Drosophila melanogaster: one gene and its partner. The protein of the gene in region 2 interacts with the protein of the main gene of each other region in a pairwise test. Each region holds a gene or a part of one and is shown on either strand. Other genes may lie near its edges.

What was found. The genes of interacting proteins can lie anywhere in the genome.
Region 1: the proteins of Sirt2 (region 2) and CG12723 interact in a two-hybrid assay, tested with the Drosophila melanogaster proteins (one large-scale study listed by BioGRID).

The regions. Positions count from the first base shown.
Region 1 is NC_004354.4:13,189,081-13,193,799, reverse strand, and holds CG12723 (uncharacterized protein), read left to right. Parts: upstream 1-1,916; 5' UTR 1,917-2,027; coding exon 2,028-2,798; intron 2,799-2,863; coding exon 2,864-3,764; intron 3,765-3,827; coding exon 3,828-4,033; 3' UTR 4,034-4,157; downstream 4,158-4,719. Other genes in the region: Coq5 (coenzyme Q5), read left to right, coding at 1-112, 166-468.
Region 2 is NT_033777.3:20,326,877-20,331,428, reverse strand, and holds Sirt2 (sirtuin 2), read right to left. Parts: upstream 2,965-4,552; 5' UTR 2,841-2,964; coding exon 2,756-2,840; intron 2,701-2,755; coding exon 2,609-2,700; intron 2,553-2,608; coding exon 2,456-2,552; intron 2,401-2,455; coding exon 1,514-2,400; 3' UTR 514-1,513; downstream 1-513. Other genes in the region: CG4360 (uncharacterized protein), read left to right, coding at 3,893-4,552.

The DNA of each region.
Region 1 (4,719 bases), on a different chromosome or scaffold from region 2:
CTGCACCGTCGCATGGCAGTGCGCCGATGCCGAGAAGTTGCCCTTCCCGGACGCTAGCTTTACGGCCTACACTATTGCCTTTGGCATCAGGAACTGCACACATGTGGATAAGGTAGGCGGATCATGAAATGTACTCTTTGTACTTATTTCTCCCTTCCATCTAAGGTTCTTTCTGAAGCGTATCGAGTGCTGCAGCCGGGCGGACGATTCATGTGCCTGGAGTTCAGTCATCTGACGAACGAAACGATGCAATGGCTATATGACCAGTACTCCTTCCAGGTGATTCCGCCCATGGGCCAATTGCTGGCTGGTCAGTGGCAGGCGTACCAGTATCTCGTTGAGAGCATCCGACGGTTTCCCAAGCAGGAGCAATTCAAGCAAATGATCGAGCAGGCCGGATTCGATCAGGTGTCCTACGAGAACCTAACCTTCGGCGTGGTCAGCATTCACTCCGGCTTCAAACTGTGACAGCCGAGGATGATATTTGTTGTAAGCGATTAGGAAATCCTAAGACCATTTGATGGGGCTTAACTATAATCTATATTGTTGGTTTTTTGCGTTTTTTCATGCTGCTCACGTCGGGCAGGTCATAAAGCATCGAATTAAACAAGCTCCTCTGGCGGCTTTTATTTCTGTATGTTTACATTTTGAGGTTTATGTAGCTCTTTGTCAAATATATGTACTTCATGTGCCAAAAGGCAAACCCAAACGGCAAACTGATGACATCTCCGGCGGCAAGGCCTGGGAAAGACCTTGAGGATTGTGTGCCAGACCCACTTAGATGCAAAGGGCGATATGGTGGTAGCCCAATAACCGAACTGTACCAGATGCCAGGTGTAAGGCACTGTAATCGATTTAAATTCCACACACCCAACGGGTCGTTTCCAAAAAAAAGTGAAAATCTCCATGTAGGCTAATCGAAAGTCCATTTACGGCGATGGGATGTGATATAATGCAGAAACTATCCACTTATCTATTGACTTCAGTTCGCCATCAGATGTAGTGCAGGTGAAATTTATGCGTGTGAATGTTGAATTTTAACGAAATTCAAATAATAGCATTGAAATGCCATCAAAATAATTGACCGTGCCATGCTTAATAGGTAATTGCTAATTGGTGCTTTGCAATTGTGCGCTTTTGCTTTTATTACAATGGCTTTATTATGCTTTCACCCGGCGACTGATTAACACGGATTGGACACCCGAATAGCCGCCCATATTATTGGCCGGATTATGTAAGCGGAGACACATTTGATTTGTATCTAAATTGCAGCCAAATCATAAACCTTCGGACCTTCCATCTCCGGCAATCGAAAGTGAAAAGAGTCCGGCGATAAAAAACAAAAAAAACTGAGCACAAAAAGCATGCGGAACATGCAGGCCATTGAAAGCAAAAGTTTGGTGCGTGCGGCAACGTGCTGCGCATGCGTAGGTGGATTCCGGCCAATGGGACAGTGGAGCGGGGCCAGGCAATCAGTGGGACTAGTGGGCAAAGTTGTTGGCAAACTATATAGAGTTTTAGCCTTTTAGATTTTTATGATAATAATCTCGATATCTGAATAAGAAGTAAACTTAGATATGAAGTGTAGTAGGAATATTCCATACTTGAGGAATATACATACCATATATATGCGCACAATCTACGGTACCACAGTGCGTGGTCAGGTGGCGCAGCATAATGAGGCGCTGCTCAGTGGTCAGTGGTCAGTGGGTGAGGGGTCTTCGATTGCGGCAGGTGAAATGGCAGCGTAAAAGTCATAAACTGCCCAATCCATGCCGTATGCCATGCCGATGAGCCGCTGACGGTGGTGCATTGCTAGCACCACCAGTGCCACCGATTGGTATGCACAGTGGGTATGTGCCACTCCACTGTGCCGCGATGTCCGCTTTATAAATACAACAGCGACCAAGGAAGTTCATTTCATTTTCTTGTCGGCGATCGCAGCAAACGGATTAAACGCGAGGCGAGGCGATATATTACATAGTGTCCAAATATACGCATATAGAAATCAAGTCCACTGAATCGAAATGAATCTCTTGGCCAGTTCGAGGAGCCTCCATCTTCTGATGGTCTTGGCTGTCATCTTGGTTTCTCATCGAGCTGAGGCGGGCTTACGTTTGCGTCACACCAGTCGATCGGTCACGCCCCCCGCCAGCACAACGCCCACTTTGACAGTGACCTCCGAGGATGCCCCGCTACAAGAGGAATCGGTGGCGGAGAGTGCCCCAACGGCCAGTGTGGTTACCGAACCGGAAACGGAAGTGGAGGTCACGACCGGAAAGCACAAGCGTGGCATTCTACACGGCCACGCCCACCTGCACGGCCAATGGCCCGCCCGCACCTATGCCGCCCACTACGGCTATAGCCTGCAGCTGCCAGGAGGCAGTGCCTTCCTGGCCGCCGCTCCTCCGCGCCGCCACTTCGTCAAATACGGCCATGGTCTGGTCAAGCCGCTCGTTTCCGGTTCCGGTTTGCTGCCCGCCTTAGCTCCCGCACCCGCTGCCCTGCTGCCCGCCGTCGCCTCAGCCCTGCCCGTTGGATTGCCCACCGGTCTGCCCGGTGGCGTGGCCAGTGCCATTCCCGCCGGAGTCGCTACTGCCTTGTCCACCGGCGTGGCCACCGCTTTGTCCACCGCCGTGGCTCCGCCCTCGTACGTCCTGCGTCCCGGAAATGCGGTCGTCTCCTCGTACAGCGTCAACTATCCGCACCAGCACCTGCAGAAGCCCGTGGTCTTTCAGTCCGCCGTAAAGCCTGTCCACTTCCATGCTCCGGCTCATGGCCATGTGCATGCCGTGCAGGTGAGTTAGCTACATAGGAAACTTGTGGAATATCCCGTTGACCATTTCATTCTTTTCTGTTGCAGCCCACTTATGTGCAGACCTATGCTCCGACTGCTCCGGCAGTGCCTGTTCAGCCCGTGCAGCCAGTGCAGCCAGTTCATCATCTCCAGCCCATTCAGCCCCTTCAACCGGTGCAACCGGTGACCACCCATCTGCAGCCAGTTAGCCCAATCCAACCGGTTCAGCCCCTTCAACCGGTTCAACCCATCCAACCTACAGTGACCTTCGGTGTTCCGTCTCCCCCAGCTGTGGATTTGCCGGTGATCCCTCAGTTCCCACAACCGCCTCAGTTCCCCGGTGTGCCGACCTTTAGCTTCCAGCCCGCTCAGCCAGCGGTGCCAGCCCAACCCGCTGTGCCCGCCCAGCCGGCAGTTCCAGCTGCACCAGAAGCCCCAGAAGTGCCACAGGTTCCCGCCATTCCACAGATTCCGGCCATACCGCAGATACCCCAAATACCACAATTTCCCGGATTCCCTCAATTTCCCGGCTTTCCCCAGATTCCCCAGTTCCCCCAGGCGCCAGCCATTCCATCACCTCCCTCCGTTCCAGGAGTTCCAGCTGTACCCACGGTCCCGGCCTTCCCCAGTCCACCAACTAGCCAATTCTTTCCGGCTGCTCCACAGCCACCATTGCCGCAGCAGCCACCCACTTTTGGCCAACCAGAGTCGCAATTCCCCGGCGGAATTGTACCGCTGCCGGGCTCCACTCCCGTCCGCCCTGAATCCGGCACGGGTATAGCCTCGCCGCAGATTCCCCCACAATCACCCGAGCCGGAGACGCCGTCGGAGGTGCCACCACAGCGGCCATCCGTCCAGCAGCCCTGGAAGCCGGTATTCTATAGTCCACCCACCGAATCCGCGCCAGCGTCGCCGAATCGACCCTCGATCACCCTGCTCCCGCCATACGGAAGTGCGCCAGCTGAAGGTGAGCTCAGATGACGTTATGGATATATATTATTATGCTATATTTCAAACGAATATTTTCCAGGTTACCTGCCACCCGTGGGATCCCAACCGTCGGCCCTGAGTGCCAGTAGTGCCGGAATCGGTGGTCAGGGCGGCATCTTTGACCAGCTGACCGATGCCGAGCTGGAGCACATTTTCGCCCAGGCCAACTTGGCGCAGCAGCAGCACCAGCAGCAGCAGCAGCAGCAGCAACAGCAGCAACAGGGCCACAACTACCACCACTACTGAGTCCACCACTCACTCCACCTAGGGATCTTTTCAAATTTTTTTTTGTTTTTTTTTTTTAAGCCTTCGTTCATTTGTGCTCTACTTGTATTGTAAATTATGTTGCTATTAAATAAGTTATTTATCGAAAAATTGAACAGATCGTTTATTTATTGCGTAATAATAATAAATATAATAAATAATTTAAATAACTAATTCTATTGCAAAGTATATGCGAGATATAGACATAATATCTTAGTTTATTTCCTTTTGGCACATACATATTATCTATTTGAATTTCATTAGGAAATTCCCTTTGGCTCGGCGCATTTTCATTTCCTGAGCTTTTCCGGCGCGCGCTTTTCCCCCAAAGGGCTTTTCACCTTGAACTTGGCGTTCGTTGGTTTCTTTGGAGCTTTTCCCGTTCAGCTTTTCATTCATAAATTGCCAGCCGGCGCGCTGAATGAGTGCGTTGTGTGCTTGGTTGGGTGAAAAGTGGGCGGTTGGGCGGTCGGCTGGGCGGCGCCAGTGGGCGGGGCACCTGGAAAGGCCGCATGCCACATGTTGCAGGCATTCGCTCGCCTTTTTTTCAGCTCAGTTGTTTGTTATCGTTGGCGGCGAACGCGCGTCTGCTGCGGACCAAAAATCGACTATATTCCGACTATATACCGCGCATATATATTTTTGGATCCACCGATCCGCGATCTTAC
Region 2 (4,552 bases):
TTTTATTTGGAAATATCTTCGGTTTAAATAGGTGACATGAGAATCGCATCTTAAAGTAAATGGCCTACGCAGAGGCCTAAGTAAATAGTCCCCGCCTTATCGAGGTCCCACGCTCGGGCACATCTGCCTATCTTGAGCGGCGAGGACCTTATCTGTGGTCTCCCACTAAGGGACTATTTTAGGAGGCGGGGAAAGATCTCAAGTGACTGACTCATGTAGTGTGCACTTAAATTACATGTTTTTGAGCAATGCACCCATGTCGCCTTAGATAACAAAATCCTAAATATAATTTATCGCTCTCGATTCATTTACATAAGATATGAACGGAGCCCAAAATTGTAAGTCTTTAAATATATTCGTGTTCATGTGTGAACAGTTAGTCTGAATATTTCTTTTTCGTATTTATTTTTATGTTTCAAACTAATCTTTGTATTGAATAACGTAACGTGATGAGCTAATCGATATTTATTTAACTTTTTCATGCGAACACAAATAATTTTTATTTGTGCAGCAAAACATTCGCTGAGAAGGCAAGACTCGGGAAAATTGCACATAGACAAGATCTTAGGCCATTAGCTTTAATTGCAAAAGTTTTGGGCCAAAAGCAAGTGCAATTCCAATGGCAACAGCAGTGGCAGCTGAAACTGCAACAAATTGCGTGGCTATCAATATTTCCGTGGCTGCATTTGATTTCCTAATGCATCTGCAGCCATTCATGTCCCGAAGTTGACAGGCTGGGATGCCTCCCATCATACCATGCATCCACCTCCGAACCGTCGCCCCTGTCAACGATTAACAATATCCGGTTGTGTACCCCGGCAGTAGCTATCCGCTGGCCCGATTGCGAGCTTGGTTTTAATTAGTCCTGCCCGTACGTATTTTCTATTGGCCAATTCACCGCAGAAGCTTCATTACCGGTCTACCGTGTGTGTCTCTTTCGCTTTGTGCGTGTGTGCTTCTGCAGGACAGATTGCGAGTCATTAAGTTGATGCAGCAGTAGCAGCAGCAGCAGGAGGAGGAGCAGGAGCAGGAGCAGCATCCGTGTAAGCCACACAAACAGGCAGTTAGAATGCCACATGCCACGCCCACAGCAGCGGTCGAGCCATGTCGAGGGGCTGGGCAGCTGTAACTGAATCGAAATCAGCATCAGCACCAACACCAACACCAGCATCGAAATCCATAGCCAAGCCCGGATCAGAGCAGAAAACGAAACAGAAACATGTCGAGAGTTAACCTTTGTTGGCGGTTTGCTGCTTTTTGTGCGCCGGAAACGGCAGAGCAACTCAATCAGTTTTTGCGGTTTATGGTGGCCCGGCCAAAAGGGACACGCTAATGGCTCACAAATGGCACTTGAATAATTGAATGCCGGAAACGGAGGAGAAAGAAAGCTCGCGGTATTAGCCAGCAATGCCTGCGCTTGGCATTGTCCGCTTTATACACGTAATCCACATGTAAACAAATTGCACAATTCAACTACAAATTAACTACGGATGTTACTAACTAATCTTAGGGTCTAAAGCGAAGCATCCTTCTTGTCCCTATCGCCCGAAGTCATCTTATCCGGGTCCGATTGCGGTTTCTCTTTGCCTTGTTGCAGCTCCTCACTATTCTGGCTGCCGCTCAGTTTCTTCCTTTCACTTGTAATTAGCTGCTGCAGCTCTTGGTCCCAGCCCAAGGCTTTGGCCAGAGCCATTACGCCAGCATCACAGTCGCCCAGAAAGGCCACATCCCTAGTGTTATTGGGCTTATCGAAGAGTAGCGATCGCGTGTTGGGATCCATAAAGAGCACACAGCTGGCCTGACCCACTGCATCGCGATTGATCAAGAGGCGAATGCAACGTGGTCCTGGTCTCCACACCAGTGAAGCAAACGGTTGCACTTCCAACGATGTGCCCATGATGATCAGCAGATCGCAATCCTGGAAATCCTCTTCAGGACTGGAGTAAAATCTCTTTGGCAAGTTTTCGCCAAAGAAAACAATGTCTGGTTTAACAACGCCTTGGCACTTTTGGCATTTGGGCAGACGATCGGCGAAGATCTCCGCCTTCATCCAGTCCATGTCGTACTCCTTGCGGCACTTAATGCAGTGGTTGGTGTGGAAGCTGCCATGGGCCTCAATGATCTTGTCCTCGGGCAGGCCAGTAAGCCGGTCTAGCGTGTCTATGTTCTGGGTGTAGTGGCGCTGCAGTAGTCCCTTGTCGTTAAGCAAACGGATAAAGTAGTGGGCCGGCGTGGGAATGAAGGATCCAGGGTAAAGTTCCTTGGCCAGTGCAAAAAACGGCGCTGGATTCTTTTCGAAGTAGTCCAGATCGAATATGGCCGTAGGATGTGGCAGCTCGTACTTCTTCAGATTGCTGTATAACCCGGAACCTGGGGATCTGAAATCCGGAATGCCAGCAGCTAGGAATGGCGATAACTTAGTAAGTTTTTACAATGGTATATAGAATGTACCAACATGTAGATATGCCGGCTCCCACCATGGTCACAATCTTGCGGAAACCATGCACACGCCAATGTTCGGCAAAGCCGTCAAAACTCAAATCTGGAATAACCTGCAAATTTGCGATTTAATCAATATGATAATCAAATTATCGGGTGCTCCGCTCACCTTCTCTACTTTAACTTCCTCCTTTGCGTCCGAGGAGCCGCCGAGATGTAGAGTGTTTGCAAAGAAGCGTCGAACCTTATCCATTGTGTCGTCTAGAATTCAATTCAATTAATGAGTGACAGTAAAGACCTAACTATTTAGACTAGCCTGGGGCCTCCTCGTCGTCGTCACTGGACGAGGAATTGGAGGGCGTCGTCGGTTGTTCCTCCTTCTTTACTTCGATGTCGCCCATGGTAAACAGATTCACCTTCCGGTGAAAGTATGTAAATCTGAGGATAGTGTGATGAATTCTCCCAATTGTTTATGTTGCGTTTTGTTTTAACGTAAAAAGCAAAACAAGTTCTGACAACTATCGATAGGTTTAGGCTAACGAATAAGTTATCTCTAACAGCTATTAAAAAGCTAGAATTTTAATTTCATTGCTTATTGATTTAGATTTTAAAATCAAATTTGTGCGAGCAAACCAAAATATTATAATTACTTTAAGTAGCCTATCAATGAAAGATTTTTATTTAACAGCGATTTATTAAGGGTCGCAAATAAATATGTGTTTGTAACGGTTAGAACATATTATGACTCATTAAACAAAAAGGAACCGAATAATAGAATAACTAAAGCTAAGAAGGGCGCAAAGTTACAAAATCGAGTATAGATAAAATAACAATTACACTTTGTTGATATCTGAATATAAACTAATTGAAAGGTTAAAATCAGCTGAATTGTCAGCACGGAGTGTCCAAATAATCGATAGCTGTTATCGACCCACCCAGTGTTAGGCTCTCTAGCGCCACCAGCCCTGGCCGGCCGATAGTCGATTACTCGATGTTCGGCGGGGGTGCAGCTCTGCCCGTTCGCTCAGCCCTGGAAAACCACGCCAGTCATTTTTGTTTTGATAAGGATACGGATACAAAAAGAGCGTGGCCTGGAAAAACTGCAGAAACGGCGGAGAAAGCGCCCCAAAAGCGAGCGAAAACGGTGGAAACTGATCGTGGGGAAGTGCGCGACAAAGTGGCCGCGGATTCAGGCCCTCCCAATCGCTACGTGGAAGCGTAAGCAGCGTGTTGAAGAAGAGAAGAAGAAGAAGCAGCAGCAGCGCAGCAAAAGTACACAGAAGTGCAAACCAGACGACTGAAATAACAAATCAAAAAAGGCCCCAAAAGGAGCGGCGCAGTGGAAGCAACTGCGGGGGCGGGGAATGGCCGAGGGTCGTCGGTGGCCGCCATTGTGTAACGCCGCCGATGGGCAGACTGTAGATCCACGCTAGGATCATATCTCTCGAATATCATGCATCTGAACCATGCGACAGCCGCCACGGCAGCCATGGCCAACTATCAGCACTACCAACTGCCAGCCTCCCATGGCGGTGGCGGCGGAGGAGGAGGTGGCGGTGGCGGTGGAGGAGGGAGTAATGGTGGATCTGGACCGGGTCCCAACTCGGGACAGCAGCAGCCCACCACACTGGCCAGCCTGCAACAGAGTCCCTTTGCGCTGCATCAACTCACCGCCGTGCAGGCCATCCAGCACCCTACCCACCAAGCCATGCTCCATCCACAGCACCCGCTGGTCCATTTGCTGGACATATCCACTACAACAGCGAACAGTGGCGGAGGAGGCGGGGGCAGCCACACGCCCATTTCTCCTATGAAACAGGAGGTGCAGAGCGTGATTAGCGAGGAGGAGGTGGTGGTGGACGATCCGCGCAAGAAGAAACAGTGCCACGTGTGCAAGAACAAGTTCCGGCAGCTGACCACGTTACGCAACCACATGAAGATCCACACGGACGAGCGGCCCTACAAGTGCAAACACTGCGACAAGGCCTTCCGCCAGATCTCGACGCTAACCAACCACGTGAAAATCCACACCGGAGAAAAGCCGTTCACCTGCAACATCTGCGCCAAGGACTTTCGCCAGCAGAGCACCTTGATCAATCACATCAAGACGCAC